Linked DNA regions of Drosophila melanogaster. The protein of the gene in region 3 purifies or fractionates together with the protein of the main gene of each other region. This does not show direct contact. Each region holds a gene or a part of one and is shown on either strand. Other genes may lie near its edges. The genes, in order: CG4004, Sec3, CG1105 and CG4554.

Region 1 (4,929 bases), on a different chromosome or scaffold from region 3:
GGAAAAGTGCGCATTTTCAATGGTTTGATTTTCGTTCTTGCGTATGTACCACATCCCCCTCCCCGCACTCCTTTGATAATTTTCATTCGTCTGCGTTCATGTGTTTTGTTTTTCCTCTGCTGTTTTGTTTCTGTTTCTGTTGCTTTTGTTTTTCTGTTTTTGCGCGTTTTTTTTTTTTGTCACTTGCCAATTTGCAGTGAAAGTGAAATGCGCTGAGCGCAGGCGGTTGGAAAAGCGGGCGGGGTTATGCGGGGTCACGAGGGGGTGATGAGCGGTGTGGGAATGGTGGGCGGCAGATGGAAAGAGGGCAACGGCCAGCCTAAACGGGAAAAAAATTGAGTTGAATGCACACGTGCGATTTACCTGTAATCGCCCAATTCGGTTGCAAGTTCGCTGCCACTGATCAAACCGATTTGCCCAATGCGTTTTATTCTAAACTGTAATTGCCTTTTGATGCTTAATTTATAAGCTTAAAAATTGCGACATATGTACATATGTATATAATCTATAAATCGATCAAAAAACGTTCATACATTGCTTTTAATCTATCCGCGTTTTTTGTTTTGGATTTTCTTTGTTTTTATTAGTGTTTTTCGCCCTCTTCCCCCTTTTTCTTTACCTCTTTCCGCTATTTCCAGCTCCCCTATTCGTTGTGGTTGTTTTTGTTGGCAACCGGCCGGCGGAAGAAGACTTGCAACATTTTTTCTAAGCTTTTCGCTTTTTTCCAATTCATTTCGCTCGACGGTCGCGCGACGTTGCCGTTTTTCAGTGCGAAATAAATCGAGCAGCAGGGCACACAAAAGCCGTAACGTCGCAACATGTTCGAAGCGAACTGAAAAGTGACAACGTCGCGCACGCTTGACGGCATAGGAGAGCAACAAAAAAAAAGAAGAAAACAACAGCAAGCAAATGCTGGAACAGTGATATTTTTTTTTTTTTTTTTTGCTAACAAACATACGTAAATAACAAAAGAGTCACAAGCCGATGGAGTGGACATAAAAAACAGGCTCGCACACGTTGCACTTGCATGACACGCCGCATCATACAGCAAACAAGCGAAATGAACAATCATCATACCGAAAATTGTATAATACCCATTGCGACTTTGTCATTCTCTATCATTCAACGTCAGACCGTCGAATCGAGCGTGAAAACGTGCAATAAAACCAAAGTTAACAAAAACAAAAAAAAAAAAACCAGACTACTTAATGTCCCAGATGGGCGGCACATGCTTGTACGATGAGCCCGAAATCATGGAGGAGTTCATCAGCTGTTATCAGTATTTCACCGCCCTGTGGGACAGCAGCAGTCCCGATTATCTATCGAAACAGAAAAAGGAGCCCGGCTATCAGGAGCTATTGAAGATACTGCGACGCGTTAATAGCAACTGTTCGATTCAGGATGTTAAGCGAAAGATAAACTCGCTGCGTTGCTGCTATCGTCGTGAATTCAAAAAGGTACAGGAATCGGTCAATGGCTACCAGACGCGTCTCTGGTGGTTTCATCTGATGGATTTCCTCAAGCCGGTACTCAACATACAATCGCCGGCCAGGGTGAAATCCGAGAACGTGGACGATAGTCTCGACGAGACCAGCATTCAGGTGAGTTACGACCGCAATGCGTGAGTGTTTACATAGTCCTTGGACTTCTTTATTGGATAAATTTCAAATTTAAGTAATTTTCATATAAATAGGTAGATAAATATATTTGTATATACATAGGCAATATAGGTAACATAGGAAATATATTTATTATTATTATTATTTGTATTATTTGTTGGTTTTCATAAAGTATGCATGCATGCATATGCATGTAGGATATGAAATGATCATATGTTAAGTCTGGCAGTTCTGTAAAATTAAGCGTATGTATATGTATAGAATCTGGTTGAATCGCGTTTGACGTGGTTTGACGGCGTTTGACGGCGTTCGCAGGACAAATGAAACGCCGGTCGTACGACCAATTTACGATGCAAGCTTCAGTCGCGCGACGGACGTTAGACAGACATGTCGCACACGCACACGGCGATCGATTTTTGGAAGAAATTCCTCGGGTTGTACCGTTCGATGCCCGAATTGTGGCTGGTGCGCAGTAAACTGTATCGCGATCGCCAGCTGAAGCTCGAATCCTATAGCCGATTATTAGAGCTGCTACGCACGACCGATAGCTATGCCAATATCCATACGCTCAAACGTAAGATCAACAATTTTCGGACCTCGTATCGCCGGGAATTGCGAAAGGTGCTGGATAGTGGGAACACATATAAGCCAACGCTTTGGTATTTCAAAGAACTAGACTTTCTCTATGAACTGGAAACCGGTGAACTGCAATTGGAGGGCATAGTGGCCGCCGATCGGGATTTGGTTCGAAATTCGAAAGTCCTGCAGAATGAGTCAAATAAAACGATAACATTCGGAGCGCAATTGGCGGAACAGGAGGTATCAATGAGCTTTATTGTGAAGCGAGAAATTGAAGTTGATGAGAATATAACCGAGGATATGCAGCAATTGGAGACCGAAGTAAGTGATCTATGAAGGAATTTTATGGAACTTCATTATGTAGGGCATATATGTATATATGTAGGTACCAGAGATCGGCACCGGTGCCTGATTTGAGCACTACAAGTATATTCGCATAAAAAGCGGTGGCGGTTTAAGTAACAACCGCATCAAATGCGTTTGCGGTGTTTTACCACCGCATTGTCTGTGTGTGGAACACAGACAATACACAAAAATATGCGACGGAATAGGACACACTCAAAAATGTATTCTGTGTCTTTTACGCGCGGAAGTCGCACACCGCGTAGCAGAATACACATGCCTAAAATCGACCAAGGCCAATGTCACACACTTAGAAGAATGACAATGTGCAAGAACAAAAAAAAAAAAAACATTAAGTTTACAGTTGCTTTTGCATATTTCCTTTTTGTAGCCTTTTTTAAGCCCGGTGCATTGGTTTTGCAATATTTCTATTCACTGACTTTATTACTTGTGAGAGTCTTCAGTCGTTGCGAATGTAGCAGAATGTCGGACCACGCATTTATCGCCGAGCAGATTGCAAGTGGCCTTTACTCCTTGGAGCCCAAGCTCAAGGGAAAGAGTTTCGTCTGGAATGTTTTAAGCGGGATTATTAAGGATGATGGATCAATTTTAAACGACTTGGTTTACTGCCGCTCATGTCGAAAAATTCCTAAAATGTGTTGGCAATCAAACTTCAAATTTAGCCAGGCACAAATGTTGTCAATCTTTTCGGCAACCAACTGCCCTACGGATTGTGTCTGCTCCAGACAAAAAGGAGGCGTTGAATGCAGTTTCCAAGTGGATTGCGGAGGACTGCCGGCCGTTTTCGGCTGCGGTGTACTTGTAGTTGCGGTGAACTAATGCAGATCTCTAGTACATATGTAGATCTGTGTATTGTGGATTTAGTATTATCCATTATATACTTATAGTATTAGTATAGTAATACAGTTAATCAAAAAAAAGGGATACTGATATATTTAATTTAATTTATCTACTTTCAGGATGTTGACATTATGTCTGATGCCTTTCCACACGAAGAGGATATGCTACGTCTTGATGCCGTGGGTGATGGCGATGTTGAACCGGAACCCGAGCCTGATAACGATCCCGAATTGGATAACATGGATGATCATGTTGATGATTATCGTAACAATTCATCGGCTGGGAGCATTAAGAACAATGGCTATCAGCAGCACACCGTATCTTCGCACCAGCAGCATAACGGTGAATCGCAGACTTCGGATAAATCCGGACGTCGCATCCGTAACCGACGAAGACGCAGTAGCAATGACACCGATTACGTTGAAGCGGCGAGAAAGCGTAGAAATGTGGAGACTTCGAATAGAGATAGAGACTGGCATAGAGAGCGGGATAGGGAGCGAGACAGAAAGCATGAAAGCGACAGCGAGTACGAGTGCGAGCTGATCGGAAAACGGATGGCCAGCCACTTCCGGCGTATGCGTCCGGATCAGCGACTTTTCGCCGAACGGATCATTAGCGAGGTGTTGGTCTACGGCCGAATGAATCGCCTTTCGTTCGAGACCCAATTTAGTATGGGTCATAAATAAGTGAAACTAAACTAAAACTCATTTCGCATATGAAAATGCGATTGAAAACGTATGAACGACAATTTAATTATTTCAAATTCTATCTTTAACGATCATTTCATTTGGCATTACGGTTTAAAAAAAAAGCATAATATTGAACGACAAAATGCACTATGTCCGTTATAGCAATAATTAATATTGCATAAGAAACAAAAATGTAATTAAGTTAAGCTGAAAACTCGACAATATTTTTAAGTTTTCGTAGTTTAAGTGGAAAAATAGATAGAACCGAAATGAATGATATTTTTAGCCGCCTGCAACGCTAAGCAAAAAAAAAACCAAAAAAAAAAATGCAGAAATGGCAAATGTAAAGCGAAAACGGCTAAAAGCGAAAATGCGATGCAAAAGGGAAGGAGAAGAAAAGGGCAAAAACAAAAAGGATGAAAGCAAATAAAGGAACTGGTTGTTATTCATTTAAAATTTGACTAAGTGGTTCTGCATGCGGATCCCTTCCCCTCTTCATCCCCGCCCCCTTTCCCCGACAAGCAGCCAGCACATCTTGTTTTGTCAGCCTGCCTTCTTCTTTCTTCTACTTCTTCATCTCCTCCGCCTTCTTCCCGTTTTGCTAATTTTCTGCTGCTGTGCTGCGATTCTTTTATTTCAGGTTTCTTTGCCTTGCCGCTGTGTTCTCTTTTCCTTCTTTACTCCTTTTCTTTTCTACACACTCCCAATCTTTTCCTTTGCCGTTTCCTTTGCTTTAGTAACTTTAATTTGTTGGCATTGCCATTGCCGTTATACTGGCGTTCGTCTCTTTCTCGAAATCTATCGCGCCCTCTCGCACTGTCTTGCCCTTTCACTCATTG
Region 2 (5,878 bases), on a different chromosome or scaffold from region 3:
AGTTTAATAAACGTGCAAGCTGAACAATACAATCGGAAATAAGTGTTTCTAAACAGAATACAATAAATTAAGCATTTATAATGGCAGGCCGCGGAAGGGGCGGCAAGACAGGCACCCTCACGGCGGAGCAAATGGCCATGTTGGGATGCACAAAGGATATGCCGGTGCAGACGGCGCCGCCACCTACATTTCCGCCTGTTTTGAACAGACCCACTACCCTAGAAGTGGGTACAAATCCATTTACATTAGTTTAAAAAACATCGATCAACTTTTTACCTGTTTTACTTCGATAGACAACAGCCACACAGAACTATCAGCTCCTGTGGAAGGAGGACTTTCTGAACCGAATGCGAGATTCCCCCTATTACATGATCTCCGCCAGTCGGGACGCAAAAAACCTTGATCACAAGGACTGGCGAGAAGTAATAATACTGGCTATTTTAAATTAGCTGCTTATAATCCTGCTTTTACACCCCCAGAAAGCCATGGAGCGCATGAAGCTCACAGCACAACCCGATTTTAACTACAAAGCCATGCCCCAAGAGCTAAACATCTCCAGTCGAAAACGTCGTGGAGCAGATGCAAGGCCGAATCTGCTGACCAAGAAGACAAACATCGAGGACAGACTGAAGGTTCTGGAGCAGAAAGAACTGAAATCAGGTGGCGGTGAGCAGGACGAGAACAAACAAGAGTCCGATTCCGAACAGGAGGAGGAGGAAGATCCGGAGGCGGCGTTGGATGATGAGATGGACGAGGACAACGACTACGGTGCAACGTACTTTGATAATGGAGAAGCCTTCAATGATGAGGACGACAACTTGGACGATGGTCCCGTTTACTGAGACAAATAAAACCATCGAACTGATTACTTTCGGATCTGTGATTTACTATGTCGCCACTTTAAGCTTATTTAACACAAATGTTGGATTAATTTACACGTAAGGGAACGCTGGCTTAGTCCAGGCTCTTGGGCGCGTAGTAGTTGAAGTGGATGATACCAGAAGATTTCACCTGCAAAGCGTATTTCAATAAGACCGATATGGGATGGAAGGAATATGGCAGCCACTTACGAATCCAATAGTGCCGGCCAGGACGAGAATGCCAGTGATGAGCGCGGCATTGTACTTGGCGTTCTTCTGGCTGTGCTGCTCCTTCCAGTCTCCAGCGGGCACGGGCAGATCGTTCATGGTGGAGTGGGGACCATGTCCACCGTGGTAAGCGGCACGCGACAAAGCGCCAGCTGAAATGAGAGAACAAGAAAGAATATTCAAGTGATTGGTTTTAAAAAGGGGGTAATCCCAACGAAATGCAACTTGGTTAATGATCTCATCCAAGTTTCTTCCGATATCTGTTTGGCTAATTCTGATAATATCCATGGCTATGCTGAAGATTGGTGGGTGAACCATTCCTTCGCAGTTCCTTGAAGTTTCTCCCTTTGCTTATCCACATTATGTAATTTTTAAGGTTAGCAGTTTTGCTGAAAAGAGGTGTTGGGCCACTCCAACTCACCGTTCTTGAGCAGAAGCCCCTGCTTGACAATGTGCTTAACCAACATGATTGCTCGAAAGTAGCTGGAAATGGGTAAATATGGGTTTATTTTCACTGCCAATACTTTTTCGCATTATAACTCACCCGAAGATTACCTTGTGTTGAACAGTGTGACCGTTGTGTTGTTATAGAATAATATCTACCCTACAGTTGGGATGAGATCACGAGCTGCATACTTGTTATTACCTACGATGCGATGAAACCTTCAATGTATCTATTATACTGAAATGTTTAAATAACAATATGATTTAATACATTTTAATTGGTTTCTGTAGTCTTAGCATATTTTTGCTATGTGACTTTTAACCACGTAAAGAACACTCACGCAATGCGCTCATCCCCAACCGATAGTCTGTAAACGCCTCTGCAGAAGCTCTGTTAAATCAGCTGTTGGTGCGGAGGCGTTCTCCAATTGCTAATTGCAAGTGCAAACAACTGGCCAGTTGTTGATTCTTGAAAGGACTTTATTCGAGACCAGTGCATCCCGAAGATATACCCAGCCATGCTGTCCATTGGCGCTATGGCCAACATCAAGCACACGCTGCAGAAGGAACTCTTCTTGGCCTCCGGAGAACGCCTCCTTTCTGTGGTGACGGTGGTCAAGAAGAAGGACAAGAAGCCGTGCTACCTTTGCGTTGTCACCACGGCGCCACCGGTACCCGTGGTCACTTTGTGCCTGATCAAACAGTCGGAGCAGCGCGAGGGCGAATACAAGCGCAAGCGGAGCTGGCAGCTGGACGAGATTAAGTGGGTTGACGGCCGGAACGAGCAGTTCGAGACGCACGAGTTCGATCTGCAGTTGGAAAAGCTGTACAAATGGTACGCCCTTAACCCTCACGAGCGCCAAAACTTTCTGGCCGTGCTCAATCGCCAAATCCAAAAAAGCGTGCGTGGCCAGCGGGCGGAATTCCGGAATGTGCCCGCAGCGTGGTTGTCGGAGAAGTCGCCGGAAAAGGTGGCATTGGGCAGAGCGGTTCAGAAGACGCAACACATGGACGACGAGGAGGACGAAGAGGAGGAGGCCCAGGAGTTTACCGCTCTGACGGACAAAGAGGCCAATGAGCTGGGCAAACTTTTCTCCGAGTGCGACTTCGCCATTAAAGATGCTGAGCAGTTCATAGAGCAGCTGTCGCGTGAGCTCCACGATTTGGATGGGGTTAGTAAATTGGGCTTGTCCACCGTGTATACATTACTCATAATTTCTTATCTCGCAGGCCAATATGCAAAGTGTACTTGCCTCGGAACAGAAGGTTCTGAAAATGATGGAACACATCGACAATGCTATCTCCGAGGCGGATAAGTTTGAAAACCGTCTTGATAGCTACGAGGACATTCTGGGGCATGTCAAGGAAACCATGGAGAAAATTGGAGGCAAAAATGCCATGATCGAAATTGCCAACAATAACAATATCAAGCTTATGAAGGAGCTCAACAAAGTCATAGTGCGTATTCTTAGTGTACTCAATTTTATACTGTTTAATAATTCTGCTACTTCTGCAGAGTCAACTGGATCTGCCGCACAGCCAGCAGCAGGCTCTGGATGAACCCGATTTAAAGACCGCCAATGGACGCAAAGCAGCCATTGCAGCTGCTCAGTGCCTGCAACAGGCAATGAACAGCGATATAGATCCTGCTCTGCTGCGTTTGGAGGCGGTGCAGGACCAACGCAAGCGCTTTGAAAAGTGGAAACAAAAATTCTCTGCCACGGTCAGTCGGTTTATGAACAACCTCTTCATCCACCTGGGCAATGAAATAGGAGACATGCAGGTGACTAGCACTGAACTTACGCTGCCTAACCATTCCAACGTCCATCGGGAACTGACGCCTTATACTGAGCTGATGCACTGGACAAAAGCCATGGATCGGAAGACCTACGATGGTCTAATGCGTGTGTACACAGCATCGCTGAGCAAGATCTATGACAGGGATGTGAGGAACTTCTTCAATTTGGTAAGACATGAACATGGAAATGTAATAGTTTGTAATCTAAGCTAATCTCGATCACTTCTGATTATTTTATAGGCTAAAATTCAGGTGACGGAAAAGCTTCGTAATTCTCGGGAGGATCTGGACATGTCTACGTCTTCAAGAAAGTCCGCAGTTTCCACAATACCTTATGGCACACTGGGAATCAACAGGGATCAGTGGGGTCCCGGTGTAGAGACAGCGGATCGAATGCGTTTTGATGCATTGTTGGAAAAGGTTCTAGCTGAGCTGGAACCCATCGCCCTGCAGGAACAGCTTTTCTGCATCAACTTTTTTCAGATGGACGTTATTAGTCCAACGACAAAGAACACACAGACTACGTTGGAGATGGAAAAGGCGGTGGATATGACACAGTCAATCATATCAGGAGCGGTTTCGCCATCAGGTGATGGTGTTCCGCAGAAGCGGATTGACCGTCAAATTAACGAAGATGTGCGTAAACTGATGATGGGCCTTTTCGGTTGCCTAGAACCAGAGCTAGTTAGCTTCATCCAGAGCTTTGAGCGTGTAGACAGCTTGTAAGTAAACAATATAGTAATGGAGTAAGGAGTAATTAACAAATTTGTTTTCGTAGCTACTCTCTGTACGTTTTTGTGCGACTTACGCAGCACGTCATGTCCGCCCAGGACACACATTCCTTTCTTAGCATGACCTTCGCTTCCGCCTTGGTGCAGGTGAAGCGGAGCTTCGACCGCTTTATGCAGAACCAACTACTGTCTATCCGGGAGGCAAAGCTGCACAAACGTTCTAAGGCCATTCTGCCGTATGTGGAAAACTTTGAAAACTTTGCCCAAACTGCAGAGGGCATATTTCGGAAATCGGATCGCCGAACGGACATGGAGAAGTGGTACTTGCAGCTGGTGAATGCCATATTTGAGGGCATCCAACTGCATTCGCAGGAGCACCCCAAGACACCAGTTCAGGTAGTGCGCATGGAGAACTACCACCACATGTACGCTTTGTTAGCCCAGCTCAAGGTTCCTGGTCTGGACGCCCTGAAAAAGGAGGCCAAGAAGTGTTATAACGATGCGCTAAAAGCGTATGTGACTCAGTACTTCGGCCGGCCGCTGGAGAAACTGAATGTAAGCCAAAGTCAATGACCTTCCAGAAGAAAAGATAAGTCGATCTTCATCTCATAAATTTCCGTTCTGCCTTTGCAGCAATTCTTCGAAGGCGTGCAACTTAAGGTGGCCCAGGGAGTCAAGGAAACGGAAATCAGCTACCAGATGGCATTCTCCAAGCAGGAACTCCGCAAGGTGATCGCTCAGTATCCTGCACGAGAGGTGAAGAAAGGACTGGAGAACCTATATAAGAAGGTGGAAAAGCACCTGAGCGAGGAGGAGAATCTGCTGCAAGTGGTATGGCATGCCATGCAGGAGGAGTTCATTGCCCAGTATAATTACCTGGAGGAGCGCATCCAAAAGTGCTACGCCGGCGCCATGATCAACCTGGAGTTCAACATTCAGGACATACTCGCCTTCTTCTCGGACATAGCGCGCTCCCACTGATCTAGGGATTGGAATCTGAAAGTCAGGGAGCGGTTCAACCGGGTTTTATTTTTAAGTGCAATAGTATTTAAAGCGCTGTTTCTGCTGATTGCAAAATATATGGCGCGTATATTTAAACAGATGTGGATCTGCGAATGTTCGAAACGTCCAAGAGAGAGGGATCGCGTAGTGAAAAATCAACGAGACTAGGCCTTAAAGGGAACTTTTCAACAGCTAGCCATTGAAGTTGATTATTGTATAAGTTCTAAGCTAAAATTACATAGCCAATACTCAACTTTTGTCCAAGAATGCGAGTAAACTAAATTTTATATATAAAAATGTAGAATTTCTAGAGATCTTACTTGATCTTTAGTACGTCAGCTTTTAAAAATCACAGATAGAAGTTTGACTTTTTGTATTTATACTTTTATAGTATAACTCTAATTTACTACCGTGCACATTCAAACAGCCTCCTAAGGTCAAAGAGAGCTCTTCAAGATCAAAAGAGATAGATCATAGCCTAAAGAGAGAGAGAGAGAGAGAGAGTGCTCGAAGAGTGAGCTTTCCGGGGTGGCTTTTCGTTCGCCAGCCGTTGGAGTTCGGGCTGGTGCTCCCAGTCAAGCCGCGCGACTCTTTCGCATCGGTTGTCGCCTGTCCGCGTGATTTACCCAACTGCAGTATAAGCATTTTATTTCGTGTATTTTAAATTGTTCTAGCCGTACGTGTTTCCGTGTGTGCTCATGTGCCGTGTTGATAACTCCGTGAAATGCAAATGGTAATTGCAAATGGCAAATGGCAAACGGAAAATGGAAGAAGCCGCAACGACTTGCGACTGAATGTGGTGCATATTTTATGAA
Region 3 (5,281 bases):
TCGGGCAGCGTGTATCATTGCTGCATCCGGAATGGAACCACTTTCGAGCATCTGTTTCAAATGTTCTGGCTTGGAGAAACGGTGACGCGTTTTGTCATGGCCACCATCCTCGGATTGCTGGTCTTCTTCATCGCTCATATCCTCCCGTCCAGCGCAAAGGGCAGCTCTACCGTTCAGAATTGCCTCGGGAGTCTCAGATTTCTTTACCACTAGCTGGGGACAAGATAAGTAAGTTTTATATTATTGTGGATTCCTAAAGGACTTCGATTAGGGTGAAGCATTGGTATTCATGCTGCTTTTGTGGAAGGGAAGACATGCGACTATCAATGGTGGGAAAATTACTATTTATGTGACTACGTTAGCAATGGCTTTGATTTTTGGTAATTCAAAAAATATATCTTTGAATGTTACATAATATTTAAATAGTTTTCTTCTGGTAAGGTCAAGTTGTATGCGTCAATTTATTATCAAAGAAAGAATGAGTTAGAATGTTCTGTGATAAATTTTCTAATTCGTGGTCATAGTTACAGTAGTAGTACTTAAAGATCGCATTATAATTGGAAATTTTATGTTGAGTGATAGTTGGATCGCAGATCCTAGACACTTCCCATCACTGACCAGTTAAAACGCCAAGCAAATCAACGTCTAAGCTACTAATATTTTAAAATTGGCACTTCAGACCAGAAAAACCAACTAATTTAATAACACATTTAAACTCATTCAGCCTAATCTTTGCTGCTAATTGTTCTACGATAATTCAATGTAATTTCTGATGTTGAAATTTCGTTAAACGGTATTATTGTAGAAGAAATTGAATAATAATAACCTTACCACAAAGTCGTCTGTGCGTATTTCGGTTTGGATCATATGATTATCACTTTTTTTACTTTTACTCTGATCGCTGGCACTTTTATATCTGCCAGCATTGGCAGGATTCGAGTTGGAATTCGGGGGACCCGATGATGGGCCACCGGACGACTCTAAATGCTGTGTACTACCATTTTCGCCCCCGGGATGTCCGCTGTTTTCCGCCCGTTCCTCGCGCTTCTTCTTGCGGCGTTCCTTGTCCAGCATGCGCATCACTTTCTTGCTATGCGACGACTTTCGCACCTGGAACACCTCGCCGTCATCCTCTGCAAAAGAATTGGGGATTTTGGCTCCATACTCTTTTTATATTCCGGTATCACTCACCATCATCTGCGAAGCTGAGCAGCGCCTTTGGCTTGCTGTTGTCCTCCTGCGGCTTTATGGCCTTCCGGCTCTTCTCTTTCTCCCTCTTGCCCGAAATTATGGGAGGCGGTGGCGCCTCCATTTCGGCGTCCGGATCCAAGGATGCGCCGTCCTCCTCTTCGTCAGCGTTGCTGGAGAACACGCGTCGCTGAATTTTCTTCGGTTTGCGAAAAAGCGACATTTTCCACGATGTTGTTGTTACTCTGCGATTTGTTTAATCAATGAAAAATCGGAAGAAAAGCGAATTTTCGCAAGATCTCTTCTTCTTGCTGTCGTATTGTAATAGAGATGAAAATCTTTCGATGTCGTTCTCGTGCTCACGTGAGTCACGAGCAGGGCTGGAACGTTAATTCTCGGTCCTCGGTCTAGCACTTACAAAACTTTTCTGTATTGAAAATATGAATAGCTTTACAAATTTTGAAACTATTGTAACAATTAAATAAAAATGTGATAAATACATTAATTTGTATACCCAGGGCAGCTACACATAAAACTGGTCTTATTAAAATATCGGCAAGAGCTTAGATGACTTTTCATCCCTAGATACCGACAACGGCCATCTCTAATCTCTGAATTCGGCGACCGCAGGGCGTTTCAAAACAGACCGAAAAGTCGTTAACTTATTGGTGCCTTGAGTCACAGAATCTCTAACATGGGCCTTAAAGGTTGTGAATTGCAATTGGACAACCCGTGGAACACCTACTACGCCGGTCAGACGGTCAACGGCCAGGTGAAGTTTACGTTCGACTCGCCCAAAAAAGTCCGAGGTAAGTGCGAATCCAAGTCCCAATTGTGGGCAGCGCTGGAGAATGCTAATTAAAACCCCAGCTGCTTACTATTACTCATAGGAGTGACGACACCTGTGTAAGAGTCAATGATTAATTGGAAATTTAGTAAATAAATATACATAGCACTTTCGTCTTCAATGTGCAGGATGTTCACTGGCTGTCGTTGGTAGTTTCCTTGCTAACTTCTTAAAATCCTGACGCAAAAAGCCGGCGCACCACCCACAAATGTCGGTTGCTCTTTCGGTGCCTAAACGACCTTGTTTTCAGAAAGCTGGCGGTTGTTAAACCCTCCAAAGAAATGCACTTTCTCCTCTTTTCAGTTGGGCGATAACAACTATAAATAGCTCCAAGTGTGAATGAATACAAAAGAAAGTAAATAAATATGTAGTACATTTGACGGGGGCATGTAACCTATGTGGCAAACATTCCACCATAATCAAATTTTGAGGTCACCAAACACGGGAGACAGATGCTGCCTGGTAGCGATGATGTCATCCGTTGAGTATGCCTTAGAAAGCTTTTCATATTATTTATAGCTAAAATTAAAGCGCCACAGTGACGTCGTCGATTGTCATTCCGTAAATACAGCCACTTGTTTCTCGTAGGTATTATCATTCGGTTCCTGGGAGAAGCCAACACCGAGTGGTCAGAGGAGAAGAGCGTAACCACCAGCGAGGGCAAGACCGAGAACGAGGTCACCCAACTGAAGGGGCATGAGGAGTACTTTAAGATCCAGTACTATCTGCTGGGCGGCAAAAACAGTAAGTACAAAAAACAGACCGGGAATTCACTCCCCGGTTGCCAGACCTTAGTTTATCTGAAAAGAATTGGAGGATTTAATTATTGAAAGTGTCTATTATTAAGCATAAATTTTTGTATTCTATGGTGTAAGAATTGGCCAAGAAGATTTTTGTTTAAAATTAAATTTGTCCTTATATGAATCGAATAAATGGGATTGCACTTCCTCGCTCTATATAAAATAATAACTAAATCTTGTAATTACTATACACCTTATAGCATTAATAACTTCTCCTTTTGAAACTACAATAATTTAATGTTTTTATTTAGCTTTATTAAATAATATACCTTGACAGACCCTTCCTCTGCGCGTAAGAATTGAAAACATAATAAGCTATAAGTGACCTTTTTAAAATGCTAAAAGTTAAATGTATGATTTTGCAGGCTCTGAGACGGAACTACCGCCTGGCACTCACACTTATCCATTCACCTGTGCTCTGCCGCCTAATCTACCCTCATCCTTTGAGGGCGAATTTGGCCATGTGCGCTATACCATCAAGGTGACGCTTGATCGTCCGTGGAAATTCGATCAGGACATGAAGATGGCGTTCACAGTAATAGCGCCCGTTGATCTAAATCTCAATCCTCGAGTCAAGGAGCCATTCAAGCTCGAGCTAGAAAAGTCATTCTGCTGTTTTTGCTGTCGCTCAGGACCGCTGGCTGTCATCACGAACATCCCGCAAACAGGATTCGTTTCGGGGCAGGTGCTGCCCATCACCTGCGAGGTGGACAACACCAGCAACGTAAATCTTACGGCAGTGAAGTTTGAACTGCGTAAGCTGGTCACCTTCCACACAAACCAGCCACGGAGCGAGAAGCGCGAGTCCAAGGTGATCATAGCCAACTTAAGTGTTGGCCCAGTCAATGGCGGCGAGTCTCGCACGTTTACGCAACAAATGGAGATTCCGGCGCTGCCACCGACCAACCTCCTCAACTGCGGGATTATCGCTTTGGACTACGACCTGCATGTGGAGTGCGAGGTGAGCGGTCCGCACCGCAATCTCACTGGCAAGGTGCCAATCACCTTGGGCACTATTCCATTGGCTGGCGTACGGCCACCTACTCAATTTACGGATGCTCCGTCGGCGGTTCAGTCCGAGGATCCATCGCTGGCGCCCACACAGCCAGTGAGCCCGGCGAGCCCTCCTGGCGGCGATGGCGTGGGTGGTGCTCTAGGCTGGAACGTGGCTGACAGTACTGGTGGTGGTTCACTGTATCCTAATATACGTGAGTATTAAAATTATGGAGTTTTGTGGATTTTCTTTTAAATTATAAAAGCTTCTTAGTAGGGTTATATATCTTTATTTATTAAAATATTCTATTTTCATTTTGCAGCGCCACCGCAGTTTGTGGAGACACAGTACCGGGCACCAACGATCGCCGGTAGGGACGACTCCGAGCATACGCAGATGATCGGCGACGGAGCCTTCGCACCTCGGTATCCGACTTTCCAGTTTAATAATGCCACAGCACCGCCAGCTAGCCAGTGATTGAATCTCTAAGCTAGACCCACAATGATATTCTTAAACTTTGATGTCGAACTATTTTCTTCTGGCTGTCTCTGTTTCTGGAGGGTTAGCTTTCGCAATTTTTATCGGCTTTGCATTTATGAAATATTAGCTTTCCGTCCAAATAGAAAGCATAAACAGGTGCAGTCAAAATAAAAAAGGTCTACCTATACAAAGTTTTTGAAATGCTTAACTTCTGTTTATAATTAAATAGCTTTCGGACAGTAAATACAAAGAATTGGGTCTTTATTATTTTGACTGCATCTGTGTTTAATTTAATAATCGTATAAATACGCACAATTGTCAATTCCGATTTAAACTGCTCAAATTTAATTTTTTCTGTTTTTTTTTAAGCCAGCAATAGTGCCTAAAACTGATGTACGACTATAATCGTAATAAAACACAAAAGATAATGAAGGTTTGATACATGGGCATAGCCAAATCCTGGGAGCCAAAAATGTGTTGAGCCTTGAGGAACTTGTTTTATACGGAGCATTGGGAGATTTAAGAACTTGGAATGATGGTGCTATCGTTCCATATTTACTTCTTCTTTTTCTTGCAGTATTCATTCAGTTCCCTGGCCTTTCTTGCTTTCTTCTCACACTTGCACTGTTCCTTCAGAGCTATTTTTTTGCATTTGGCCTTGAGGATCTTCATCTTCTTTTTCCTTTGTCTAAGCTTCTTTTCGGCTATTTTTTTGCATATCTGAAAAAGTCCTTCGGGATTGGCTTTCGGCTTCGGTGGTGAGGGTGGTGCGGCTTTAGATGGTGGAGGGGATGGATTAGCAGCTTTTGGTGGTTGGGCAGGAGGCGGAGATGGCGTTTTAGCGATCTCCTTCTTCACCTCCTTCTTTACCTCCTGTTTGATGTTCTCTTTGACATCCGTTTTAGCTACTGGAGCAGATTTGCTAGCATTCTTCTTAACTTGGGCTGCTTCCTTGAACTTGTATTTAGCGCA
Region 4 (4,840 bases), on a different chromosome or scaffold from region 3:
AGGAGGATCTCACTTGCCCGATTTAACTGTCATCACGCCGGTCTTTTATGAGTGAGTAGTAAAGAAGTTTTTGTGGGTATTTGTCCAGTCAGACTAACATATATAATTTCTTCCAGAACTCATCCGCGACCAGTTTTCTTTGTGGCCTCCCGTGGTCACCATGCGGATATTGGTGGAATTACTCCTGGATCTATGCCGCCGCATTCCACCTCGTTGGCCCAGGAAGGTGCCGCCTTCAAGTCCTTCCTGATTGTAGAGAATGGCCTGTTTCAGGAGCAGCAGATCATCGAGCAGCTGACCACGCCCACGGCAGCAAAGGGAGCTGTGGGAACCCGGAACCTGAGCGACAACCTATCAGATCTGAAGGCTCAGATCGCCGCCAACCACAAGGGCATCCAGCTGGTGGCGGAGCTGATCGGCAGCTATGGATTAGATGTGGTCCAGGCCTACATGTCGCACATCCAAAAGAACGCCGAACTGGCGGTTCGGGATATGTTGCGTCAGATTGGCCGGGATACTTTGGAGCGCACTGGATCGACAGTGCTAGAGGCGAAGGAGTTCATGGACGACGGATCACCCATCGCCCTTAAGGTGACCATCGATGCGGAGCAGGGTTCGGCTCTTTGTGACTTCACCGGATCGGGAGTGGAAGTGTGGGGCAACTGTAATGCTCCGCGGGCTATTACCTTGTCCGCCCTAATCTACTGCCTGCGCTGCATGGTGGGCCATGATGTGCCACTCAACCAGGGCTGCCTGGCACCCATCCAGGTGATCATTCCGAAAAACTCCATCCTGGATCCCTCAGAGGGAGCAGCTGTGGTCGGCGGCAATGTGCAGACATCGCAGCGCATCGTAGACACGGTTCTGAAGGCTTTCGGAGTTTGTGCCGCCTCGCAAGGATGCATGAACAATATAACTATTGGGGATGAGTCTTGGGGTTACTATGAGACTGTGGCCGGAGGAGCTGGTGCTGGGCCCGGCTGGCATGGAGCCGGCGGAGTGCATACCCACATGACGAACACTCGCATCACTGATCCGGAGATCCTTGAACTGCGCTATCCCATGATCCTGAAGAGATTCTGCCTTCGCACCGATGGCTCCGGCGGAAGAGGTCAGTTCCACGGAGGCGAGGGTGTGGAGCGGGATCTCCTCTTCCGCAAGCCAGTTACCCTGTCCGTCCTGACAGAGAGACGAACTCTGCAGCCCTACGGTCTCGCAGGTGGAGAATCCGGGAAGAGTGGACGCAATTTGGTGGTGAAACGGGATGGTCGAGTGATCGCTCTGGCAGGCAAAACCTGCATTGATGTGGAAGCTGGGGTATACTTTGATATGCATTTATTTGTAACTCAACTAACTACTTATCCATCCTTTTCAGGACACCTTTGCCATGAAAACTCCCGGCGGGGGTGGGTATGGACCAATTGAAGACTTTTCCAAGTCCGGTGAATCCTTGAATCAGGAAACCAGCAAACGATACGTGGAACGAGGAACTGTCTTTAATTATCTTCAGTGCCAGGAGTCTGCCTAAGCAAATTTTTGATTTCGCTTTTATATGTGCCATATTAATAAATGTCCCTTGACTTTTGAAACACTGAGTTATTTTTTTAAAAGACCTTATCAAACAAACAAACTGAGTGGCGCATATTACAGCGAGCTGTGGAAAATTGCATATAAAATGTTCAGTTAATATTCAATTAATTTTTATTTAATGAAGATTCTATAAAGTTAAATTGTTTCGAAGACCATTTAAAAAAGTGCGCCATTTCGGAACGATATGCTGTACTATCGATATTTTCAAGCGAACATATGTTTTCAGTAAGTGCAATCGCCGACTGTCTATCGATAACAGTGCGTAAATATGTTTCGCACGTGTTGCATTTGAAAGAAAATTGTCCGTAAACAAAAGAGTTTTTTCCGTAAATTAAGCAGTCGAGTGTAAACTGTAGAAACATGGCATCTTTAGCGGAAAAAACGAAGGACACCAATACCTTTCGGGTGAGTGTCCCCAGAAGTCTCGAGTTGTTTGGTGACCAACCGCCTTACACGTTTTTCACCCGCAGTTCAAATCTTTCGGAGATCGGGTGAATGAAATCGACCTGCGGCACTTGGCCCTCTACCACATCGGCCATCGGAACGAGGAGCTCGACGAAGAGGAGAATGCCACCTACTTCCAGCAGACGATTCAGAAATGGAACGTGCTCAATCTCTCCGAGGAGTACAACTACTTCAGCAAGCGCTGTCGCAAGATAGTCACCCTGCCGCAGCTGCTGCACCAGAAGGATTTTGTTGTAGACTTGCTCCTGGAACGTCTTTCCACCGCCACGAATTTGTCCCAACAGCCGCTGTTGGAACTGCTCTATGTCCTGGCCAAGGATCTCCGTGAGGAGTTCTACCCGTACTTCCAGCGAGTCCTGGACCGACTTATCTGCCTGCTGAACACCCAAGACTCCGAGCAACTGGAATGGACGCTCATCTGCCTGGCGCATTTGTTCAAGACGCTCAAGCCTTATTTGAAGCGCAACATAGGTGTTGTCTTCAATGCAATTCTACCGCTTCTGGATGAACAGCACTATGCCGAGCATGTGACCAACTTTGCGGTAGAATGCTTTGCCTACATTGCTCGTGATGTCCGTGATTTCCCGCGTTTCCTGACCTATGTGCTGAAGACTGTGTTGCGTGAGCAGGTGGAGAGTGTCCACGGCTGCGGACGACTCATCTACGAAATTCTGCGCGGCGTCAACGGACAGCTGCACAACTCGGCGGCCGAAATCTTTGCCCACGTCCTGGAGGTGCTTGTCAACAAGGATTCCGCTCACACCAAAGACCAAACAGAACTTTTGGGAGATATCGTGGAGTATTCTTTGGGTCTGCTGCTCAACTTTCTGCGCTCAGACCAAAGCAACATTCTGTGGCAGAAACTCTGTTCGGCTGCGAGCAGTGAAAGCGTGGATGAACAAAGGGTTATCGACTTAATGCTTCCCCTGGTCACCCACAAGGATGGGCGATATGTCTCCGAGCTTCCGCTGGTAGTTGGCACTCTGCTAAAGCTTTTGGACCGGGAACTGGATCCTCTTCAGCCCTTAACAACATTGGTGACCAGTCTGTTGAAGGCTCAGCACACTCAACTATCCCAGTTGGATGCCAGCCGTCTGCTGCAAAAGCTGTTAAGCATAAGTCGAAAACAAGTGACCGTGTACGAAGACGCCATTCTGCAGCTTCTGGACTATTCACAGTTTGAGATTCTGGTTCTCCCCAACGTTATTGGGTACTTTGAAGAACAGAGGCAATTAAGAGCGCGGGAGTTGCTGGCTCGCATCGTTCTGCACAAACGGCCGCTAAAAGTTGATGGTAACTCACTGGCCCAATGGGTGGCATATCCTCTCCAGTTAAAACAAAAGGACACCATTAAATTAGTGGAACAAGAACTTCTGCACCTAGACCTGACCAAAGAGGAACATCTACTTTTAATCATCCTAGTTCCCCATTTGAGGGGTTTTAACAAGCAGCCATTAGAACAAGGATTGCAATCAGTTATTGAAAAGCTCATATGCGATAACGGAAAGGATTTTACACAACTGCTCCTGCTACTTCAAACTCACGCACTGCTCAAATTTAACTTACCTAAGAGTTTGCGATCTTCTCTTAATGGTTACCTTATTCCTGAACTGGGAAAGGACATTCGAGCTTTGGCTTGCTTGCAAGTGGTTCTTTTACAAGGCCCCAAGAACGAGCTATCCACTTCAGATGAATTACTTTTCGGAATTGGAGGTCTTCTAAGCCAGCCTGTATCGCTATACAGACGCATAGCTGCCCACTGTTTGGATGTGCTTAACTCCTCGAGCAAACCAAATCCGTATTCCCATTTTAATGCCGCCGCCTGCATCGAGCCCACTGTCCACAATTACCGCGAGCTACTCCTCCAACTGCAGCAATTGGAGCCGGCATCTGCTCAGTTCAAACAGTTCTCCCAGTTGCCACATTTCAAGGAGCACGCCGTTAGCCTCTTACTTGGCCTTTTATACAACAATTTCAAGTTTGTGTGGGCTCCGGTTCAACAGCTCCTGGCTGCCTACGTCAAGACCATGACAGTGGATGAGTTCTGGACATTATTTAAGGCCAAGTTAGTCGATACTGTTGCCTGCATAGACTACAAGAAGGAAGTTACAACATTGCAAGTGCCATATCAAAGGGACTACCAATCGGCAGCACTAACCATGCTCCTGACTTTGCCTGGGGAGCAACAATTGACCCTTCAGCAGGCCCTCAACTACCGCCAGCTTCTATGGCAAAGCGTGCCCAAATTGGGCACACTTGCTGAGGTAAAGAATGCTGATTTGGTGCGATTGTTTCTGCAGTTTGTGGATAACGAATATCGCGCACAATTGGAGAAATCGGAGCATACTTGGAATGTGAACGAGGCGACGGGTAAGTTAATTAAATGAATATCCATTATCCATCAGTTTTTCAAAGCTGTTCACTCTACTTTAGCTGCGGATATTGACGTTGAGGAGGATGATGAAAATGAAAACAATGAAACCAAACCCGAGCCCCGAGGCCGTCAAAAGAGGAGAACCCAAAATGCCCACACAAAGTTTATTCTGCAAACGCTTCAGTTAAAACTTGCCTGTTTCGTATCCCAGCCCAACCCCAAGGCTTTGCATCGTCAGGCGGAGATGCATGACTTTTATCTGGAGCTTCTAGCCGGCCCTAACTCCCAGTTACAACAATTGGCTTTGGATTGCCTTGCGGCCTACAAGCAACCAGCAGCTCTGGTGCAACAAAAGGCTCAGTTATCGGGGCTTATTGATGAAGAAAAATTCAAAACAACGCTCAGTGGTTT

What was found.
Region 1: the proteins of CG1105 (region 3) and CG4004 purify together in Drosophila melanogaster (affinity purification with mass spectrometry, with the first as the bait; one large-scale study listed by BioGRID). This does not show direct contact.
Region 2: the proteins of CG1105 (region 3) and Sec3 purify together in Drosophila melanogaster (affinity purification with mass spectrometry, with the first as the bait; one large-scale study listed by BioGRID). This does not show direct contact.
Region 4: the proteins of CG1105 (region 3) and CG4554 purify together in Drosophila melanogaster (affinity purification with mass spectrometry, with the first as the bait; one large-scale study listed by BioGRID). This does not show direct contact.

The regions. Positions count from the first base shown.
Region 1 is NC_004354.4:12,743,349-12,748,277, forward strand, and holds CG4004 (uncharacterized protein), read left to right. Parts: upstream 1-1,967; 5' UTR 1,968-2,006; coding exon 2,007-2,519; intron 2,520-2,968; exon of another isoform or gene 2,969-3,023; coding exon of another isoform or gene 3,024-3,371; intron 3,372-3,520; coding exon 3,521-4,087; 3' UTR 4,088-4,405; downstream 4,406-4,929.
Region 2 is NT_037436.4:17,421,272-17,427,149, reverse strand, and holds Sec3 (secretory 3), read left to right. Parts: upstream 1-1,932; 5' UTR 1,933-2,050; coding exon 2,051-2,704; intron 2,705-2,762; coding exon 2,763-2,990; intron 2,991-3,048; coding exon 3,049-3,498; intron 3,499-3,570; coding exon 3,571-4,052; intron 4,053-4,108; coding exon 4,109-4,616; intron 4,617-4,694; coding exon 4,695-5,042; 3' UTR 5,043-5,363; downstream 5,364-5,878. Other genes in the region: Polr3G (RNA polymerase III subunit G), read left to right, coding at 81-224, 294-422, 480-842; COX7B (cytochrome c oxidase subunit 7B), read right to left, coding at 955-1,011, 1,071-1,240, 1,510-1,555. UniProt on the Drosophila melanogaster protein: Component of the exocyst complex involved in the docking of exocytic vesicles with fusion sites on the plasma membrane.
Region 3 is NT_033777.3:7,063,640-7,068,920, reverse strand, and holds CG1105 (uncharacterized protein), read left to right. Parts: upstream 1-1,784; 5' UTR 1,785-1,882; coding exon 1,883-1,997; intron 1,998-2,623; coding exon 2,624-2,779; intron 2,780-3,200; coding exon 3,201-4,043; intron 4,044-4,151; coding exon 4,152-4,306; 3' UTR 4,307-4,735; downstream 4,736-5,281. Other genes in the region: CG1965 (uncharacterized protein), read right to left, coding at 1-213, 832-1,133, 1,192-1,411; Mst84B (Male-specific transcript 84B), read right to left, coding at 4,865-5,281.
Region 4 is NT_033778.4:22,481,469-22,486,308, forward strand, and holds the start of CG4554 (uncharacterized protein), read left to right. Parts: upstream 1-1,834; 5' UTR 1,835-1,950; coding exon 1,951-1,995; intron 1,996-2,060; coding exon 2,061-4,425; intron 4,426-4,488; coding exon 4,489-4,840. Other genes in the region: CG4752 (uncharacterized protein), read left to right, coding at 1-51, 117-1,317, 1,376-1,528.